Lytechinus pictus: one gene and its partners. The protein of the gene in region 2 interacts with the protein of the main gene of each other region in a biochemical or structural test. Links are inferred from orthologs where the notes say so. Each region holds a gene or a part of one and is shown on either strand. Other genes may lie near its edges. The genes, in order: THO complex subunit 4-like, nuclear RNA export factor 1-like and GTP-binding nuclear protein Ran-like.

Region 1 (7,197 bases), on a different chromosome or scaffold from region 2:
AGGATTAAAGACTTACTGATACACTTGTACCTCTTAGAAACAACAAAAGGCATGTCACTTAAGCTAATCTCAAAACAGGATGTGGCAAACAAGATCAAAAAGAGAGAATAGCAGTATCTCCTTGAAGGAAAATAGCTTAAATTGGTTTTGAGAAAAGAGTATTCAATGCTAATCATACTGGACTCAACCCCCTGGATATTTGCTTTCATACACACAGGATATGCAAGCACTTTTACATTCTTGCCTTGAAAATCCAAACAGAATGAAAAAGATAAGACAACTATAAAACAAACAATAACATTTTTGCTTACAGGCAACAATTTTGCAAACAATCAGAGGGTGGACAAACTGCTATTCTTTAATCTGAGTAAAATACATTATGCATAAATGTGCCAAATGGTTACAACTTATTCATTATCCTGAACTTGCTATTCCTATGTTTACTCTGTTGGGATTTGTTAGGCAAGAATATAAAACCGCTTACAATGTACACAACCTGTGTGAAATAACACATCTTTCTCAGTCTTCCTCATAACATACAATGAGGGCAAAATATGTTTGCAAGGGCCTATAAAATCTAAATTTCGATGACTCAATTAGAGCGACTAGAACAAGAATAGTTTACGAGCATCCTTTGTTGAGCCTTTACATATGCCCAACTTGACAAATTGTGTTTTGATCCAAAAGACAATTGGTGGGACTGAATGAACACTTTAAATTATCTAAATGTTGCTTTTACATAGCTTTAATACATATTTTGTAGTATTACTATTATCTCTTTGTTCCACCAGTCTAAAAAAAAAAACTTTAAAAATTAAAAGGAAATATTTAATTTTTTTTCTTCAAATCTTGATGTCATAATTAGATCATATTCTAGCACAAACATAAATACAAAACATACAACTTTAGAAAGCAGGCCTTTACAAGATACCCTAACTACAGGAGAATGGACAAAATAGAAAAGATGCAAACTTACGGTCTTGATTGCATTGGGTTTGACTCTAGCTCAGTCGCTGAACCCACTAACTGAATATTCATCGGTCGACCTGTTGATGCAACGGGGCAAATAAGAAAAGTCAAAATATTGTTACCATATTCAATTGATAATCAAGGACAATTCTATTGATATTAATTTGACTTGGAGAGAAAAAATAAATGATGTGTCAATGACATTTTCAATCAAGTATGACCCCTAAAACTAATTTTTGCAGATCTGCACCACTAAAAGTGAACATGAAAGAAATTCATGGGACAAAAAGCTGTGCTGCATCATAGTCATGATTCATAAATAACATTGTGAAAATGGTTGACATGTCACTTTGATCATTCATTATTCAGTGGGCTGTCATCAAAGACACTTGCAAACTTTATGCAATTAATGATAGTATACCAACCTTGCATAACAATTATTCTATACCTGAAGAATTCAACTCTAATGAAATTTGAATGACAGCATCACAGAATTGTGATATCCCTTTTCATGTGCCCATAAAGATATGATGGGTCTCATGTGTGAGCCTTCATTGTACAACGCCTACTTAGCTTGTTGTACGCGAGCAAATGGGAGGCTGAATGTCAAACATTCGTACCGTTGCACAAAAGACGTACCATCCAAAATGTACCGTTGCACGGCTTTAGGAGGTGACGTCACAATACGATTCAATTCATTGCGCTCAGTAAAAATGCAGGTGCAATACGCGAATAGCCTGCTGGCTAAATGCGCAATGCTGCCCAGGCCCGAGGTGGTCGCTTGTGGGATTTTGCTTTTCGCTTTCCATATTTTTGCTCCCTTTTCATAGATTACTGCAGGAAAAACTCTTTGTTTTTTCATAAATTCGCTAAACTCCGAGGCGTTGTACAACACAAATAGCGAATATTCTTATTCGTGCAATGGTGCGAGATTTCGCATTCGGTGAAAGAAAGAAATGCTCTATTCAACTCGGCTAACGCCTCGTTGAATAGAGCATCTTTCACTCACCTCATGCGAAATCTCGCACCATCGCACTCATGCCTATTCGCTATTTGTATATTGTTCTTATGGAAACTTTGAAGCCAGACTTAATAAAACTAACATGATCTTTAACATCATGCCATCTCAAACTAAACCTCTCCCTCTCTCTCTAAAACCCAAACATGACCCTTCAAGGAATACAGCAGCTGAAGCGAAAAAAATGGAAGCATTATGATTACCCACCATCTAATGGCACTTGATGGTACTGCTTGATTGCTTTCATAGCGTCTGCTCTCCTTTCAAAGATAACGTCTGCTGTACCAAGACTTCTTCCCGTCCTGTCATAATGAACCGCAGCCTTCTTTAGACTACCAAAGTCTGCAAACAATTCCTGGAGAGAGAATACCATTATAATAATGAAGAATATCTATAGATGTTACAGGGACCTATTACTTTGAAGTTCTGACTGCAGGCTGGCACTGTTAGTATTTTCTGAAGCACAGTTATAATGTCACACAAAAGTGAATTTGAAAACTGCAATGATAGCATGGTGTACTTAATTTGCATTGACAGTGAAACAGTAAAATAATAGGTACATGAATGTTTCCACTGTGTGCATTTTGTCTTATAACTGGCTTGTTATGGTGTAAATTACTTTAAGTCAAAAGGGTGTGTGTTTGAGCATTTTGAATATTGGCACTGGTACTCAACAAATAAAGTGATAATGAGGAATGGATCCTTGACAGAGTAGCAAGTCATAATCAATACAATCAGTTAATACTGACAACCATTTAAATTCATCTTTTCTTCTGAGCACATGTGCAGTAAATCAAGTCTTTATGAAATTAAGAAAGGGTACAGAAACTGCTAAGTTACAGATGGAAATGAAAGGAAAATACTTGTCAAGAGCCCTACCACTAAACAACAAGGGACATAATGATGAAATGTAACTAACCTCAATATCATTATTTGAAACACCAAAGTCCAGATTTGAAACTAGCAGTTTTCCAGGTCCGTTCGCTGCAGTTGATAATCCTTGTCTTCTGATTGCACCTCCACCTTCACTGTACATATCATGCTGCCACTGATCGGGCATCTGTTTTGGCTAAATAAGGAAAACAAGCAAAAAATATGAAGACCCCATCAAAATCACATTTTATTACAATTTTCTTTAAAAAGAAAAAAAAATTACACGATATGTAGATCTAGACTTCATTGACAAAAAATTGATATAGATCAGCATTTTAATTTTGTTCTGATCATATTTTGATTCATGATTATCTGCAATGATTTTTAACATGAACACCATCTCTGGATGATCACTGGATGAAGCCCAAATATGGAATTCTGGAATACTGGCAGTGGAATCTATGAATCCATGCAACACAATCTCATTCTGGCACCAACAAATCAAATGCCAGCTGCACACTCTGTCCCTGGGTGAGAGTAAGGAAGATGTTCAATATTCTTCTTCTTCTTTCCCTCTTTCTTCATGTTCTTACATTATTTCATCTCTCTCACATTATTTTATTAATCTTTCTCACATAAGACTAGATCTAGTCTTCCTGTATTTATGTAAAACTTGACACATTTTATACTACATGTAGATCGATTTGCTGCAGATCATGCGGTGTAAAAATCTTCTTGCAGTTCATGTAGATCTCTTACTCTTAGTACATTACATTTGATTTGAACTTGCGCTTGCATATAATTATGCATCCCACCAAGTCTAGCCAGGAGGCTCTTAGATAGTAAAAATCATTCACTAACGTGTGCTTACTCGCCAAAGAGCCAGGGATTGCGTCCCATTCATGTGCGTGTACCGGGAAGAACTGATATTTTCGCCCCAGAGATTTCTACTTTGCTTCTGAAAGATCTAGCCCTAAATCATGTAATTGGGATACAACTTCATTTCCGACATTTCTACAATATTGATTTCATTTTTAAACAAGAATTCATAAAAAATGAGAAAAATATTATGAAAAGACAGGGAAAAATTGCCACGATGTTTACATCGCCATCTTGTTTTCTTTGTTTTTTGCCAAAGCGACAGGATGCATATCTCGAGATTTACATGATCTGGCCAGCCTAAAGAGACAGAATTTGGAGCTGAATACAGAGACAGAGTCTTGCGTTCAGCTGAAGCATCTATAAGTAGCCTGGAGGCTTCTGGAGAGTAAAAGTAGTTCTACTGACGTAAGCTTACTCTCCATGAAGCCTGGGACGGGATGGCATAGGCCCACACACACCGAGTATTTTGAAGACAACAATGTTGCTCCAAAATACTCGATTTCTTTAACTTACTTATCACAAACTTAAGTAAATGCAAAACAACTTCATTTCCCCCATTAGGAACTAATAAACTTCCTTTTACATGAAAAATAATATAAAAATTAAGAACAAGTGGAATGCCTCTGGCCGTCTCACCTGCATCACGCGATTCAATATAGCAGCAGTGCTGATTTTGAAAACTACTATAACTCGCACAAGATGTTCAGTGATACTTGGTTACTCTTATTTCCACGTTTTATGAACTAGACCAATACACTTATAGAGATATGATGGCAATTCAACAAATACCCCCAACGTGGCCAAAGTTCTTTGACCTTGATCATGTGACCTGAAACTCGCACAGGATGTTCAGTAATACTTGATTACTATTATGTCCAAGTTTCATGAATCAGATCCATAAACTTTCAAAGTTATGATGGTAATTCAACAGATACCCCCAATTCGGCCAAAGTTCATTGACCCTAAATGACCTTTGACCTTGGTCATGTGATGTGAAACTCATGCAGGATGTTCAGTGATACTTGATTAACCTTATGTATAAGTTTCATGAACTAGGTCCATATATTTTCTAAGTTATGATGACATTTCAAAAACTTAACCTTAGGTTAAGATTTTGATGTTGATTCCCCCAACATGGTCTAAGTTCATTGACCCTAAATGACCTTTGACCTTGGTCATGTGACATGAAACTCAGGCAGGATGTTCAGTAATACTTGATTAACCTTATGGCCAAGTTTCATGAACTAGGTCCATATACTTTCTAAGTTATGCTGTCATTTCAAAAACTTAACCTCAGGTTAAGATTTGGTGTTGACGCCGCCGCCGCCGTCGGAAAAGCGGCGCCTATAGTCTCACTCTGCTATGCAGGTGAGACAAAAATCATGTAAGAAGATGAGCTATACTCAGATATTATTGTCACCATCTTGCCGTCTTTGTTATTGTAGCCAAAGATACAGACACGGATAGAGGCATGAGCAGTGCCAACTTGGATAAAAAACAATACTTGCGTCGGCCGATAAATATCATGAAGTGATTCCATGATATCTATTAGCCGATGCAAGTATTTTACAATCCATGATATCTATTGGACGACGCAATTTTTTTAAATATCTAAGTTGGCACTGCTCATGCCTCTATACGCATCTGTATTTTGGCTACGATAACAAAAACGTCAAGATGGCGACATCGACAATAACATCTGTGAGTATAGTTCATCTTCTTACATGATTTTTCTTCTTTTCTTATATAATTTTTGGTGTAAAAAGAATTGTTTTTTTCCAAGGGGGGGGGGGGGGGGAATGAAGTTGTAGCCCATTTACATAAGTTTACTTAATGGTAAGTTATTAAAGAGAACAAGTATTTTGGAGCAACATTGTTGTCTCCAAAATACTTGGTGTGTGTGGGCATATACCATCCCATCCCAGGCTCCATGGAGAGTAAGCCTATGTCAGTAAAATGACTGTTATTCTCCAGGAGCCTCCAGGCAATCCAAGTACATGAAGTAAGTAGATCTGATCTAAGTAAGTAAATACCGCTAATTCCAGAATCCAGATGTCAGTAGCGGCGCACGGCCAATATTGGAGACTGTCTCCAATGTGGGAGATTATCTCCAATATCAGAGACTTTTGTAAAGAATTTGGGTATCCAATTTCAGAGACAGTCTCCAGTTTTGGAGTCCAATTTCCTTTGTTTACATTTGCTGCAAAAGGATTACCTTGGCGGCAAATAAAAATGTGATAAGCAGATTCCTCATTCACGAAAAATTACCCCTTTTCACCGACTACTTTAAAAATTCACCGTCTACTTTTATTTTGAAATTTGATAAGGAATTTTGTTGTCAATCACATACAAAACAAATGGGCTTCTGACTAGCCAGGCGGCTTCTAGAGAGTAAAAATCATTTACTAACGTAAGGTTACTCTCATACGAAGCCAGGGCTTCTATCTCATAGACCCACACAAAGGAAGCCAAAACCTGAAACTTTCACCCCCGAGATTTCTACTTTCCTTCTAAAAGATCTAGACCTAAATCATGTACATGGGATAAAACTTCATTTCCGACATTTCTACGCTCTCGTTGTTATTTTTGAAGAAGAATTCATCATTGTCTTATTGTACTTCCCCAACGTTACGGACGCGAGCGTCGCGTAACGTTGGGGAAGTACAATAAGAAACAAGATGGCGGCGTAAACATCGGGCAAGTCTCTTCCGTCTTTTCACAATAATTTTTCATTTTTTTGATAAATTCTTGTTTTAAAAATAACGAGAGCGTAGAAATGTCGGAAATGAAGTTTTATCCCATGTACATGATTTAGAGCTAGATCTTTTAGAAGGAAAGTAGAAATCTCGGGGGTGAAAGTTTCAGGTTTTGGCTTCCTTTGTGTGGGTCTATGTGATAGAAGGCCTGGCTTCGTATGAGAGTAACCTTACGTTAGTAAATGATTTTTACTCTCTAGAAGCCGCCTGGCTAAATTTACCTCCATCCACGTCACTAGAGCTAGAAACTTCATCATCATTCTCTTCATCTTCAAATCATCAATTTGAAAATCAAAAATCTAGATAAACTTCTGGGTTTTCTTTCATTTCGTGATCGAAGTATTCAGTGACAGTGTGGAGAAAACGTGACCTCGCAACAGGTTTTGCATGCAAATGGCGCTTGACGTGGGAGAGCCAATCACGTCTCTCGTACACTCTCATACACCTCATCAAATTCGAGTCAATTCAGAGACCGATGGGAGGCGTATTTTGGAGAGGCATTTTAGCGCTTTTTAATTGGCGATTTCCACCTAATGTATTACTTTCGTTATTTTTGAATGTCCAAATGATAATCCCCACATCATGACCTTTCCATTATAATTAGGGACAACGGTATATTCGGTACTTGCTCTATCAAAATCCCTACATACCATTGCGAGTGCGTCGAGCGCGTCCGTTGATCCTACGAAGCCCCAATAA
Region 2 (7,610 bases):
AGGGCCACCAAAAATTCACCTCGGGCAACCATTATTGATAAAATGTTAAGTTTTGGTGGCCCGAATCGGGCAACCAATAATTTTCAAAGTAGCGCAATTTTTCTCCCAATTTTGCACGCATTTATCAACTTTCTACAGCTCAAGTTGCAAGCCAGTTCGTCATGCGCCCTTTTTGTTGATCTACACACAAATACACACACACAAAGTTTGCATATTAGGCCTACAGCTACAGCATAGAGTAGCTATTATCCAGCCAGACGCGCCGGCCGGCTGGCATGAGCTTTGCATGAAGCCACTGCATACAGCTGTGCTCTAGATCTAGCTCAGCCTATTCAGACTCGGGGAGCTGCGATAAAAAATGTTGCTGCTGAGAAATCTTCCACAGAACTTTGAAAATCTAAGTCAAAGTCACATTTTACACCAATGAAATGCAATTCTACAGTCTATATTACGAAAATCTGGTGTACCCTGATTATTTGCAAGTATTAAGAAGAGGAATTATGACCTCTCTTTTGACTAAAAAAGACCGATTTCCACATGAATTAATACACATAAAAACACATAGGCAAGTACATCACAGTCCCACGTGTGCATTTGTATGTATGTTGATACTTGGTTTCTTTCGAAGCTGTGTATTTTCTAGCCAAAAACAAACAGACAGTTTCTTTCTTTCTTGTTTATAAATGACTTCTTAAACCACTCTTGAGAAAGTAAATACTTTGGGAAGGCATTTCATTGATATGAAATGTGATTTTTTTTCCAACATTTTGGCAAACATAGGGAAGGACTTTTCTCACACTTTTTTCCAGATATAATTTTTGCCGTTTTCTTATTTTTTTTCCTTTGATTTTTTTTGACAGTGGTTAAACCATTTATACCCCTTCCCAGTGAATATGCCTGATTAAAAAATATGTTTCTACTGAAAATAAAATAATACAAACTAAAGGATATACAAATAAAAATGTGCCATTCCCAAAAAGTGAAAATTATTTGCTTGGCTTTTAATTATATTCCAGTCAGAATAGACTGTTGCCACAGCTGTTAAAAATATATGTAATGGCTTCTTAATTTTCTCCTTTTCCCCATTTTTTTATTAACTTTGTTTTATTAATTTTTCTTTCATTTTCTTTTCTTTTTTCTCTCTAATTTTTTTCTTTTCTTTTTTTCCCTGTTCTTTGTTTTTTTCTTTCTATGATTTTCTTTCTTTTTATTTTATTTCACTAATTTCTTTTATTTTTGTTTTCTTTTTGTAATATACTTTTTGAAAATTATTTTCGTTTGTTTCCCCCTTTTATTCATTGTTTTAATTTTGCAGCATATTTTTCTGTGATTTTCTCCTTCTATAATATGCTGCAAAAGAGAAAACAGAAATAAACTGGATTTGGGGCATGCATAATCTAGGTTTTAGGATTCAAAGAGGAAGGAAGGAAAAACCATTGTTTTGTACATCTATCTGAATTTGCTATGCACTATTTATTTACTTTACCATTATCTCTATACAGAGATTTTTAAAAAAGTCCACACAACCTGCGAACAATACAATTCATTTATTCTCTTTCAATCATTTCATTTTTACAACGATAGAAACATTTATCAATTAGCAAAGTAAAATAACAGCAAACAAGGTTTACATACAAGATGTATAAAGTAAAAGTAACATAGTGGTATTGGCTGCAGAATTAATATTTCAGAAGTTTGTTTTATTCATTTTTAATGTTTTTCTTTATATTTTTCGGGCCACCAAACTTTAATATCGGGCCACCAAAAAAAATTATTTGATGGTTTTGGTGGCCCAAACGGGCCACCACCAAAAAAAGTTAATGTGGAGCCTTGATATAGAAATTTGGAATTTACCTTAATTTCAGACCTGTCTTACTTCCAAGAGCAAATGCTGGTTATTCTTTTTGCGTTATTTTTTTCTTCAACCCGTCGACTGTGTGCGCGGGCGATCGAATTATACGGCGATGGTTTTTGGCACTAGTATTCAATCCGTCAGCACTAGTATTCAACCTAGCGATTATAAGATGGCCCTGTCTCTCAATCTGCCCTTGTCCCATCTGCCTATGGACTAGACCATTTGAGATGAGACCAAGAAACGGAATTAGTCAAAGCCAGAGACTTGCATAGATCTATCTAGTTTAGCAATTTAAACCATTTTGAAATTCGCTTATCATCACTAGGTTGAATACTAGTGCAATTCAGTGCAAAAGTGCTAAATATTTGGGGGAATTTGTCAAAATCTTTGAATTATGCCGGGTTGAATACTACTAACTAGTGCCCTTACGGTACTAATTGAAAATATTGTGGAATTGTGATTACACATACACTGATACAGCACACACTGACACCGGTAATCGTATCTGAGATTTTCGGCACACTTACTCAGAAGAATATAAGGAACTTTATCAACAGAAAATGTTTGTGAAATAAAAAGAAATTCATGAATTCATGTTAAATTTTAACTTTAAAAAATAGTTAGGCGAGCAGAGGCCACCCCCCCCCCCCCCCCTTTCATAATCAATGGCAATGCCAATGGTCTCTCACATTCAAAAGCGGTAGGATGGGGGGGTCGGGTGTCCGGACACTTTATCTTTTTGACGCCTTCTTTTTTGTCTTTGTATTACACTAAAAATATAAATTCAATACTTGTAATCATCTTCTGTTTTGTTCTTTATAATATTTCCTAACGTTTTGTACTAAAAATTGATGAAACTTCGCTTGTATTTTTTTCCAAATGACTTTCTAAAATTGATCGTCCGGACACACAACCTGTCCGGACAAACAACAACTGGGTACCGGAACCGTACGGTACAAAAACTACAAACTTTTCAACATTCACACGCAGTATGATTGAGAAAACCGGCAAATATTTTCTTACACTTATCATGCAAAACAGAAAGAACATCTTTTTATATTTACCGTAGTAATTTCTACCACCTCCTTTAGTAGATTTTGTCACTGTGAAATCTCCATGACGCTGAAAACTCGACATGATGTTCCGTTTTCCGACTTGTATTTCGGCCTCGCCGCCAGACTCGTCATATGGCATACCGGTATGGGCGCGCGCACGTACAATTTACGTACGTACAGGGTCGACGTCTCGTACACCGTTGAAGTCGTCGATTTTAGTGGTCTTGCGCCACCTCACGTCTGACAAGTACAAGGCCTCGTCTCCAGCGTTGAGAAAGGGATTAAAACATATATATAACAAAGCATTTTTGGAAAATTTTAAAAAGCCATCCCATAGTCAAAACGGAAAACAGATTACACTTTCTATGGCACTACAATTCTTCGCAGCATTGGGAGGAGGAGGGGGCGGGGGGGCTTTTTTGGAGCTCCCTTTTCGGCCCAGCCTTTTGTTTTTTTACATAATTATAAGGTTCAATCTGGCAGGATCTTCTGTCCAGCTCCTGGTGGTATATAGTGGCATCTGAAAGGTTGACGGGGGAGGGACCAATTATCAACTTTACTTAGGCCCTACATGCATTACGCCACCAAAAATAATCCTCTTTTCTGAATTGTAATACAAAATTGTAAAACAAAAAAGGAATTACTATGCATACCGTATACAATGGCCCAACTACCATAGAATGCCATTCACCCTGGGCCTATATATCCCTGGAATATAAAAGTTCTCTTGATTGGTGACATAAACCCGGGACATAAACAAACATTTCCTTGAAAAGGGCACTTATAACAAATCTCCTTCCATAACAACTTTTTTGATATAGTGGAATTACTGTGATTGCCATATTGTACCATAATTAATTTTTGTATCTCTATGCTCTCTTCAAATATCCTATATCCGGGTCCTATATGCAGCAATCCATGCTGAAACAGCCAATGGAATTAAAGCCTATTGATAAACAGCACTTTTAAGTTTATTATTTATAATATTCAGACCTGGGCCCCGTCTAAACTAAAGAGGTGCAATTTATCTGATCAACCTTAACTGTATGGAAATCCATCAATGTCATATTTTTTCTACAAGAAATTTGCACAATAAAGCCTTTGTAAACAAAAAGAAGCATGCAGAACTTTTTCAAGAAAGCAATGAATGTATGAATATACAACATGTAGGAAATATTTTGAACAAAGATGCATTTTAGATGTTGACGTTGTTGCTGGCCTTCCATAGTTGCATTGATCAGATCAATATAGCAACTCTTTGTGAGACAGGAGGACCCTGATACTTTACCCTGAAATAACAGAAAAAATGGGGAATGTTTTCAGAAATTTATCACTTTCCAGGAGGAAGGAGTCACCCCATGCTAAGCTTCCATATCCTATCCAATCTCAAATCACTTATTTCTCTTTATCTATCTCCTTTACCTATTCTATCATGATCATGTACCTAATTTAATTGAAGTAAACACAACAAATTTGTATTTTATAAAATACATCATATTTTTCAAGCTGGCTTAAAATGGAAGTAATGAATCTCTCATGTATTTAATCAATAAATATGCAACAGGTCCTGTCTAATGGTAGGTATCTTAGGTCAAATATGTATGTACTTGTATCACTAACAGGCGCGTAGCCAGGGGGGCGGTGGGGGCGGTCGCCCCCCCCAAAACGTCCCCAAAAAGAAGGAAAAAAAGAGAGGAGAAAAGGAAAAGGGAAGGGAGGAAAGGGAAAAAAGGTAGCTTTGTGTTTTTTTTTTCTTTTTATTCTTTTTTTTTTCTCAAAAGAGAAACTCCTTCACTCTTGCTCTAAATTTATGGTTATGAATTTTGCTTCCGCGCTGCGCGCGGTTAAATGAAAATATTGAAGATCTCCAATTGTTTCCCCCACCCTTTCTCTAACCCTGTTTTTCTACCTCAGCTATATGTGTTTATTGCCAGTTAAAGTTCAAATGTATACATTAGGGCATGGAATTAGAGTAAGGTCAGGCCGAAGTATATGAAGTTATCTTTTTTTTAAATTGATCGCGCAACTTCTGGTCGGGTCGGCTCCGGGCGGGTAAAATCTTTATATCAATTTCTGCCGTCACCTCCATAAAGTCAACTTCTCCCGCTTTTCAGCTCATTACTAAACAACCATAATTTTTGGGGCAAACAGGTTCCTAATCCAAAAAGAGGAAGGTATAAAATTCGTATCGTATAAGGGTATTAAATAAAAAAGTACAATATTTTTTATCAAATTCTATTCAACTTCATGTCATTTCCCTGTACATTCATCTCCTGTCCTGTTTTTCGCCCTCAGTTTGAAATTTCGAATGACTCTTAAGTTTATTTATAATTCAAAATGAAGCGCTTCAGGATAAGTCAAAGAAATTAGGCATCCTTTTTATATAATTTCAATAAATCACAGAAGTTTCAACTTTTTGCGCACTATTTTCCTTTAAATGAAGTTCAATAATCTTAGAAAATTAATTGAATTAGAGCCGATGGGGTATTGGAGGTATCTGCATTATTTTGATGAAACATCCGCCCTTTGAAATTTCAGAGTTTCGTTGCTCTGCGCGGGGAGGAATTTCTTCCTCCATGCATATACACTTCTTCTCCTCTGTTTTGCGAGTTAAAGATATGCACTGTCGCTAAATTGTTTGTAATCAAATCTGATCTTTCCAAGGGAAGTATTCAATATATGTTTGAGAATATCCTTTTCTCGGGACCCTTTTCATGGCAAAAAATTGATAAAACGCTTTAGCTGCCGCACTTCGCGCGGGGTTATTATCATTTTAATTTCCTCCATTGTATTCCTTTTTTGTGCGTTCACAATCTTTTTTTAAAACAAGGTTCATGAAAACCAGGTTCAAAATCACAATATAGTCAACTGAATTCGAGCTGATATAGATACTAGAGACAAGAGAGACAACTCCTTTTCATTTTAATTTATGAAACACCAAAAGCTTCGCGCGGGAGGGGGAAACTCCCCCTCCCTGCACCCACCCCCTAGGGAACGCGCTCTGTAAGCGTTGGCACGCTTCGCGTGCATTTACCACCCCCTCCAAAATGAAATCCTGGCTACGCGGTTGATCACTAAGTAATCTCTTTCATATCTTCCTCTTCCAGGCTCTCATCCATGTCTTTCCCCCTCCCTTTCATTTGTGTTCCACTTTGTCTCCTCCTATGCTATCCTGTTAAACCATGTGGTTTATCAAATTGCCTGTTATCACTATACTGTACCTGTTTTAGGTTACTGAAGACTTGTATTGTATGACCTTTTCTATTGCTAGATCAAGTCCCCGTCTTACAAAGAGTTACGATTGATCCAATCAATCGTAACTCTATGGAGATCCATCAGTGTCATAATTTTTTTACAGGAAATTTGCAAACTGTCCTTTGTAAACAAAGGAGAACACACCAAATTGTCAAGAAATCAATGAATTTATGGATGCATTCATATCTAGAATTTTTTTTTGAATAATCGTGCATTTTATATGTTGACTTTGCTGGCTTTCCATATTTACGATTGATCGGATCAATCGCAACTCTTTGTAAGACGGGCCCCAGGATTAGTTTCTCCATTATCACTGACAGGGAACGTGGGTACATGTCTCTATTTCATCATAAATATAGATGACTTATATAAATAATGTAGCTAATTGAAATTATATACAAGTGGAAAATAATTTTGCTAAAAATCCTGTCATAAAAATATAAAATAACAAAAATTTAGTTAACTCACCTTTTTGCAAATAACATTACTTCTTAAAGGAGAATGAAACTCTTGGAGCAAGTTAGCTTTTGTGAAAGCAGAAAAATCAAAGAATAAGATCAACAAAAGTTTGAGTAAAATAGGACTAGCAATAGAAGAGTTGTGAGCATTTGAATGTCGAGATCACTAATGCTATGGAGATCCTCCTATTGGCAATGCGACCAAGATCTATGATGTCACAGATGAACAACTCTCCCCTTTTGGACACTGAAAATATACCCCAAAACATCTCTTTTTGCTCATTCTAATCATATGACAAACGATTCATCAATGATATAATGTTGTGAAACCTCTGTACTTGTCCTCTCATAAAAAGAACACCTCACCTTGTGATAGACTCTATAAAAGTGAGAATATAAGTGAAATAAGTACTAAAGTAATGAGGGAGTTGTACGTGTGACATCACAGATCTTGGTCGCATTGCCAATTGGAGGATCTACATGGCATTAGTGATCTCAATATTCAAATGCTCATAACTTTCTTATTATTCATTCAATCTTCCTCAAACTTTCAACAATATGTTTCTTTGATTTTTCTCTTTGATATGGATTCAGCTGGTTTCAAGGGTTTCATTCTCCTCTAATGAATGTGCTTTGCTTAAATTAATTTGACAGGATATTTTTTTCACTCATTGACAAATTTTTATCAGTTGTGTGAAAATGAGATTTATCCATTAAAATGACTCATGAATGTACAAAAGCCAAAAGAATGAGGTCAAGGTTACACAATGTGAATAAAGCAAAACATTGTTATTTACTCAAGGTTCCACACTAACTTTTCTCGGTGGCCCGATCAGTCAACCAAAATCATCAATTTCATATTTTTGGTGACTCGTAAAGCAAATTAAGTGGCCCTAAAAACAATAGAAAATATTACAATTTATCAAAACTTTGGTAGCCCAACCAGGCCACCAAGTATTGACTTTTACAGAATTTTGGTGGCCCAAC
Region 3 (7,228 bases), on a different chromosome or scaffold from region 2:
TGTCTGACACTGGTTGCTTGCGTTGTGATAAAATCTGTAGGATCTGTGAATATAATGAAAAATATTATAAACTTTAGGAATTAGGGCAGAGTCAAAACGTTTAAACACTGTTCAAACTTCAAACGACTGTTAACAGCATTAACGTTAACCTATTTTGACAACCATTTAACCTGTATAGATCTAAGATTAGGGCCCAGGGGGAAAAAAACCTTCCCAAAAAGTTGCTGAAATGTCACATTTTACATCTTTATATGTACATTCAGGAAAAGGCTATATATTTTCCAAATTTACTTGAAATGAATATTCACCTCTTTCTTGACTCTGAAAGATCGTTTTATAATGTTACACTCTGTAAATATTCTAGTCCAACATTTAGACTTTCATTTAGACTTTCAACAGAGTGTAAAACAATAAAAAACAAACCAATCAAACGATCATTTTCATTTAATGTTGCAACACCACTGAAGTCTGCATGTGGGACTACAATATTGACTAAGTGTAACATCATAAAACAATTTTCCAAAGTCGATCGTCGAGAGAGGCTGAATATTCTTCATTTACTTGATAGTTTTCAACTAAATCAAAACGATTTTAAAGAAATCTTTAAAGTAGGTGGCCATTTCATGAATGCAAAATGTGAAATTTCAGCATCTTTTTGGGAAGGTTTTTTCCCCCCCTGGGCCCTACTAACGTTAGATCGATACAGATTAAACAGTTGTCAAAATAGGTAAATGTTTGACGGTCTTTTGAACAGCTTTTAAATGTTTTGACTCGGTCCTAATTCTTATGATTAGGCCTAATACATAATATAAGAAATTTTAAAACAATAGAATACATACATGACATAAGAAAACAAATTTTTTACTTTTTGAAAATTACATTTGAACACAACGTCACAAGTCAATGGCACAAAGAGAATCTAAAAAAAAAATTAATCCGCAGCTTGAGCTTTATTCTAATTAATTATCCAGAGTAAATCATACATATCATTATCATTCATTTAAAGAAAAGTTATCATTTTTTTTATATTGCTTCAAACCACTCTAGGCGACACCCCAATACTTACCCGTGCTAATAAACTGGGACTCCACTCACGCGCATTTGGGCCGCCCTAGCTTAGAACTAAGCAATATTATCTAGAAATTGTTACATTGTAGTCATTAAATATGTTCTATTAAATAAATTGATAATGTTTAATCGGTACTCACCGGTTCTTTTGTTGCATTTTCAGACCATTTCTCACAATTCTTCGTAAATATTTGCGGCAAATTTTGTCGCCATAGACAGCTTAGCATCCATCTTTATTGATAAATGGAGCGCCCTTTATGATAGTTGTTAATGCCGCGGAGAAATCGTTAGGCATTTTGGCCTGTGTTCAAGGCGTTCTTTCTGTTTTATTTTTTATATTGAAGATTGTGCATTTGTTGAATACCGCCGTCTACGTCAGGTATGAGATCGAGTGTATAAATACATCTTCCAAAATAATTATGATTCCGACCTGGCGCTGTTTAACTTCAATCTCTTTCACCTAAATTAGCGATGAATGCTAGCATTATAAAATATATATTATTAACGTCTGACAAAGAATAACCAACCGATCAGCTGACGAGAACGCGAATCACGTGATCTTCATATCAGCTTCGATCGCGAGTCAGAAGAGAAGAGCAGCTGCCCAGAAAATCAGGAAAAAGCCGTGAAAATGTAAGTTCCCCTTCATTTCTTTCATTTTTTTGTTGTTGCTAACGATGCATTTACACTATAAAATTATAATTTAAATAAGAGAAAGGAATATAGCTTGTACTTGTGATATATCCTGTTCTCAGAGATTTCTAACCAAAAATACTACTGATGTTGCCTATGAGGTCCATACATGTAATGTTGGACCTCATTGGTACTAGGAGTGCTTCAAACGCTGATTCTGTCATTCTTGATATCAGAATAATTTATCCTTTTGAAGTAAAATTGTAAAACAAGATGTTCACACACATTTTAATTTTTATTAACGAAAATGCATCCATGACCCATCATGCCCATGGCATGTGTTACTGCATGTCTTTATTCAACCAGACCTTGAGAGAAAATGGAAAGGTGTATAAACATGAAAATTTGCCCTTTTCATTTTAAATGCTTAAGAATGTCACTAGAACTAGAAGTAGAAGTTGAACTAGTACTAGTAGAAGAAGTAGAACCTACGAGTATGATATGAAGTCTAAATTTTACTAAATTTAGAGTTAGACACTAGGCAGAAAGTTGAGAACATCTACTCTAGCCTAGGCTTAGTAGGTTGAGATCTGACGCAATCTCAGTCAGTCACAGCCGTTTCCAAGACGATTAACTAGACTAGATCTATCACTAAAATATATCTCGCATTCAAGCATGTGCAAAAATGCCACATCCAGCTCAATTCGCAATGCCCACACAATACTCAATAGGCGCAGGCCTACTGACGAATGGCCAACGTACGTACAAATGCATGCCTATGGCTATATGGAGCCGGTCATGCCGGTTGTGAACGAACCAGTCATAACTGGATTGCACGGACGATTTTCGATGATAAAAATCAGTATGATACCTCATCAAATTCAAATAAAATATTAGTCGAATGAGACTTATGATGAAGACGCATGAATTATGAATCATAAATTTTCCTTAATGCTATGAGAAACTTGACTATAGAAATTATCTTACCTATTTTCCTTTCTTTAGCTGGCAATTGTCGCGCGCAAATTCAGTTCATTCATCACACGTGAGAATTTCAATTGCACGCGTACTATATACTGCGAATTGCTATCGAGCGAAGATAGCAATGTGAAAGTAGAACTAATTCAAGTCGCAAAATTAAATTTGAAGTACTCCGAGCTGCATGAAACCAAGAGTAAACTTTAGGAAAAAAATTGGGACTTTATACGGGACTTTATATCCGGGCTTTATATATCACGAAAGTAGAATGAGCAAAAGATCCTGCGCCCAGGACTGAACTTCATTTAACCTTATGGATGTATGTAGTAATTTTATACCTTCTGAACTTTGCTTGAATTCCCATGCCCTCAAAATAATGAAGGCCATTATGATTACATTCCATCATCTTGTCTTTTTAATTCTAATATATATTATTCAAGTTCATTCCCGGAGTTCATTTCATTGTACAATGCGTTGAGGAAACCGTCTAAAAAAAAACCTATTTTTTAAACAGCTGGTATCAAGTCATTGCCATTGGTCTAATAAGTCAGAAATATCGAGTCTAAAATAGGTACAATTTTGGGATAGTTATATATAAGTAAGAAACACAAAGACAAACTAATTATTCAAAATTCCTGAAATTAAACTACGAATATGAAGAAATCTGCGCACGCTCGTTCATGAAGGTTTCGACGCATGCGTATCATCTTGACCCGTCTGCTGAAATGGAAAATTTCCTTGAAACCATCCAAATCTTGATCCCTGACACTAGTACTGGCCGATACGGGGGGGGGGGGGGGGGGGGGGGGGGGCAATGGGTCGTGGCCCCCACCCTATTGGCGGCGAAAAAAAGGAAATGAGGGGGGGAGGAGAGGATATAAAAAAAGGAAAAATTAAAGGACGAAGACGAGTGAATAAAATAAGGTGAGGCCGAGAAGACTTGGAAAATAATTTCAAAAAATCTTGCATGTCACTATATGTAAAAATTTCACTCGCGTTTCGAACTCGCATTGTGAGAAAGTTGCTTCAGTCGTCTAAAACATTGTGCATTATAGAGGATAGTAAGCCAGGGTAATTATAATCAATAACTAAGACTTTAGAAGAAAAGGGAAACGGAGAAATGAGTATTTATATAAAAAATATAAGGATTAAACAGTCGAGATTCGTGCAATGAAAACTCATTTGCTCACTAGTTAGAGGTGAGTTGAGCATAAAAAATGGGATCATGATTATCGGGAAAAGCGGTTCCTTATGAAATCCTATAGGATTATAGAATCCTAGTATAGGCCTAATATAAACTTCTGAAAATGCGGAAATGGAACTATGATGCAAACGGTGAAACTGAAAAGGAAAATATTAAAGGAAATTTTTGAATAATAGTTGATATTGTATTGAGAGATGATGCAACATTCAACATTTGGAGCAAAATTCAACTTTGACATTTTAAATTATTAGACTGTTGCGTCAATTAATGTATGTGATTGGAATTATGCTAAAAAAAAAAAAAAAAAATTGTTAGGATATGTGGGAAATACCGCTGTCGTTACAAGGCTAGAGTGTTTCATTGTAACGGAAAAAAATTGATCAGTGTCATCAGTAACTTGTCGTAAAATAAACTTCAAGAATATGTTTATACACCTATATTTATTTTTACAAATTATCCCCCGCTTCCACAATGATGCCATGTGACCCCCCGCCAGTGTATTTAAGGAACGTTTTTATTGGTTTATATCAAAGTTGTTACTATATTTAAAAGTCATTTGAATGATTTAATTCATGCCTTGGATTTATTATAACCATATTCTTATGATAGCGGATAAAACCTTTGCAACAAGCTAAAAGTAAGGATTTGTTCATTATTTTGTTACGGCCAAATTCTTGTAGGAAAGGCGACCGCGTTAGAAATTTTGCGTTTTTTTAAATGCAAAAGTAGGCCGACTCCACTGCTACCATCCTGCCTGTGCCGCTGTGGGGAAATTACAGGTAGGACTATGGTATGCCAATGCTGTATTGAGCACACACTTTAAAAAAATCATTAAAATATCACTTTTGTGACCAAAATTATTAATTTCCATACAGTTGCAATTTAATTTTCATTAGTAACTTAGAATAATTTTTGTATTGACCAGAGCGCTCAAAAACTTGAATTTTGGGCATATTTTTGTGTACGCCCTCTATTGGTGGAAAGTAATATGGCAACAAAATTTACATTTTTCAAGCTCTATTTTTAATCAAGAAAAAAATAATTTAAAGAATCAAATTTGCTTAAGAGCCAAGTTATATACTGTAAAGCTGTAATGGAAACTGACAGTGCAAAAAAATCAAGCATTTGTCCAAAAGAAAAAGAGAAAATAAGCCAAACATTGTCAACCTTATGGACACTATTGGCTTCCCATAATTTTAGCACAGAGTTAGACCATGGTCTAAGTTAAACCTGACTCAGGCGCGTAGCCAGGGGGGGGGGGCGGTCGCCCCCCCAAAAAAAATGCTCCCAAAAAGAAAAAAAAAGAAGGGGAAAAGGAAAAAAAAAGAAAAAGCGAAAGGAGAAAAGGGAAGAAAAGTAAAGCTTCGTTGTTTTTTTCCTCTTTTTTTGTCAAGAGAATAAAAACCTGAACGAGACGTTCTTTTCTCTTTACAAAAAAACTTTCTTCCGCGCTCCGCGCAGGAAAAATATCAAAATTGCTATTCCCTTTTGTTTCCCACACCTTTTTTTCTACTCCGTTTTCCCCTTCCCGGCTGGGGGAATTGTATATTCTTGCCAGAAATTATAAAGTACATGGGCGAGTGTAAAGAGTATGCAAAGTATTTTTAATTGTTTTGCATTGACACAAAATTTCGGCTCATCTGTTCGGAGCGGGGAGACTTTTTCCGTCACTACCCGAATCCCCAAATGCTATTTCTACGCTTTTCAAGAAGTAATTTTTTGCAAAGTATCTGCTCAAAGGGGAGACGTTAAATTCATGCCGTGGTATATGCAAAAATAATTATGTACGATATTACACTTTATTCTGTATCGCTGTACATCCATTTCCTGTCTTGTTTTGCGCCATTGATTTGAAATTTTGAATATCACTGAAGTTTCTTGATCAAACAAAAGGAAGCGCTTAATATGAGCGAAATTACACAATGTTTTTTCTTCCAAAATAAATCACAGAGGTTTCCGTGATTCGCGAGCATGGGAAAGGAAAAGTCCCTTTTCTAACTTGCATCATTCCTTTCAAATTTTGAGCTCGTTTTTCTTCTTAATCGAGTTGTATATAATCTAAGAAATATCAAAATTAGAACAGGTTAAAGTTTCAGAGAAATTTCTATAATTCAGAGCTTCAACGCCATTCGCGGAAGGAATATAGGGCCTATTTTCTTCCTGCATATACCCGTTTTCTGTTTTGACTTGAGTTAACGAAATTTGATGTGGATAAAGTTTTCACAATCAAATCTGATGTGACCAAGATAGGCATAATTATGTATATGTATTATCACCATTGATTGTATTTAATTGTATATAATTGTATTGTTTGTTATCCAGGGCCTCATGGAAGATCAACTTTTGTTGAATGAGCTACCCTGGTGAAATATGAATAAATAAATAAATAAAAAAATAATAATTGTAACATTTCTGTTCTCTATTTTTATAAAACGTTTTAAGCTTCCGCGCTTCGCGCGGTAAGAGGAATTATTTCAAATTCTCCAATCTTTTCCAATTTTTGGGCGCTCATAATTTCTCTTTCGAAAACAATTTGTTTTTAATCACAGCAGGTCAATTGAATTCGAGTTGATAGGGTACTAGAGACGCAAGAGACGCCTTCAGTTTTCAACATTAACGCCTATCGGGAGCTCTGTAAGTGTTGGCACCGTAATATATAATAAGGTCTTTGGTTGGTACACTTCGCGTGCACTTACCGCCCCCTCAAAAATTCAATCCTGGCTACGCGGTTGACCTGACTTCAGAGTACGGGCCCATGTGGATAATTCTTTCACATTGGGTTTGGGTCTCATCTATCCAATGAAACTAAGAATTTTGACAGAATGTTACACTTGAGTGAGCACTGAGTTTTCTGTAAAGCTCGCAGAAATCGGTTTGGGCAGAAATGCTTATTTTCACGCTGTGTCAACAGGTCAAGGAAAACATATAGGCGAAAACAAACTGACTGTGCTGAACATTTTCTCATCATGTTTAGCCAATTGAAATAAACCAGATACATAACATTCTGTAACAACCTTGCCACCCAAATCAACATTTTAATCCTAGGTAAGCACAACCTTTACCTTTTTGTGCCAGCTGGATATGAGGACATAACTGAATGTAAACAAAAGTTTATTTCAGACCTCTCAGTCCAGCATTCTTTCACTACGTTTTTATACGGGGTTTACATTTCTTCTCCACACTTTTCCCAAGCTTGACAATGATTAAAAAACCTTAGCCAGTTTCATGTGAATCACAGCTCCGTGTAAAGCAGGGGCCGATTGCACGAAAGGGTCTTTCCAAGGACCGTCTTTCGTGTCGCCCATCTTTTATGATACGCCATGTGAAACGCATTTCAAATAAATT

The links.
Region 1: the proteins of nuclear RNA export factor 1-like (region 2) and THO complex subunit 4-like form a complex in vitro, tested with the Homo sapiens proteins (2 studies listed by BioGRID and IntAct). The link is inferred for Lytechinus pictus from reciprocal best matches to the Homo sapiens genes NXF1 and ALYREF.
Region 3: the proteins of nuclear RNA export factor 1-like (region 2) and GTP-binding nuclear protein Ran-like form a complex in vitro, tested with the Homo sapiens proteins (2 studies listed by BioGRID). The link is inferred for Lytechinus pictus from reciprocal best matches to the Homo sapiens genes NXF1 and RAN.

What each region holds. Positions count from the first base shown.
Region 1 is NC_087254.1:29,241,650-29,248,846, forward strand, and holds the start of THO complex subunit 4-like, read right to left. Parts: upstream 3,090-7,197; 5' UTR 3,048-3,089; coding exon 2,907-3,047; intron 2,343-2,906; coding exon 2,195-2,342; intron 1,047-2,194; coding exon 977-1,046; intron 1-976. UniProt on the Homo sapiens protein: Functions as an mRNA export adapter; component of the transcription/export (TREX) complex which is thought to couple mRNA transcription, processing and nuclear export, and specifically associates with spliced mRNA and not with unspliced pre-mRNA.
Region 2 is NC_087251.1:3,281,566-3,289,175, forward strand, and holds the start of nuclear RNA export factor 1-like, read right to left. Parts: upstream 3,065-7,610; 5' UTR 3,050-3,064; coding exon 2,920-3,049; intron 1-2,919.
Region 3 is NC_087246.1:34,163,452-34,170,679, forward strand, and holds the start of GTP-binding nuclear protein Ran-like, read right to left. Parts: upstream 3,003-7,228; 5' UTR 2,689-3,002; intron 2,467-2,688; exon of another isoform or gene 2,194-2,466; intron 44-2,193; 5' UTR 1-43. UniProt on the Homo sapiens protein: GTPase involved in nucleocytoplasmic transport, participating both to the import and the export from the nucleus of proteins and RNAs. Switches between a cytoplasmic GDP- and a nuclear GTP-bound state by nucleotide exchange and GTP hydrolysis.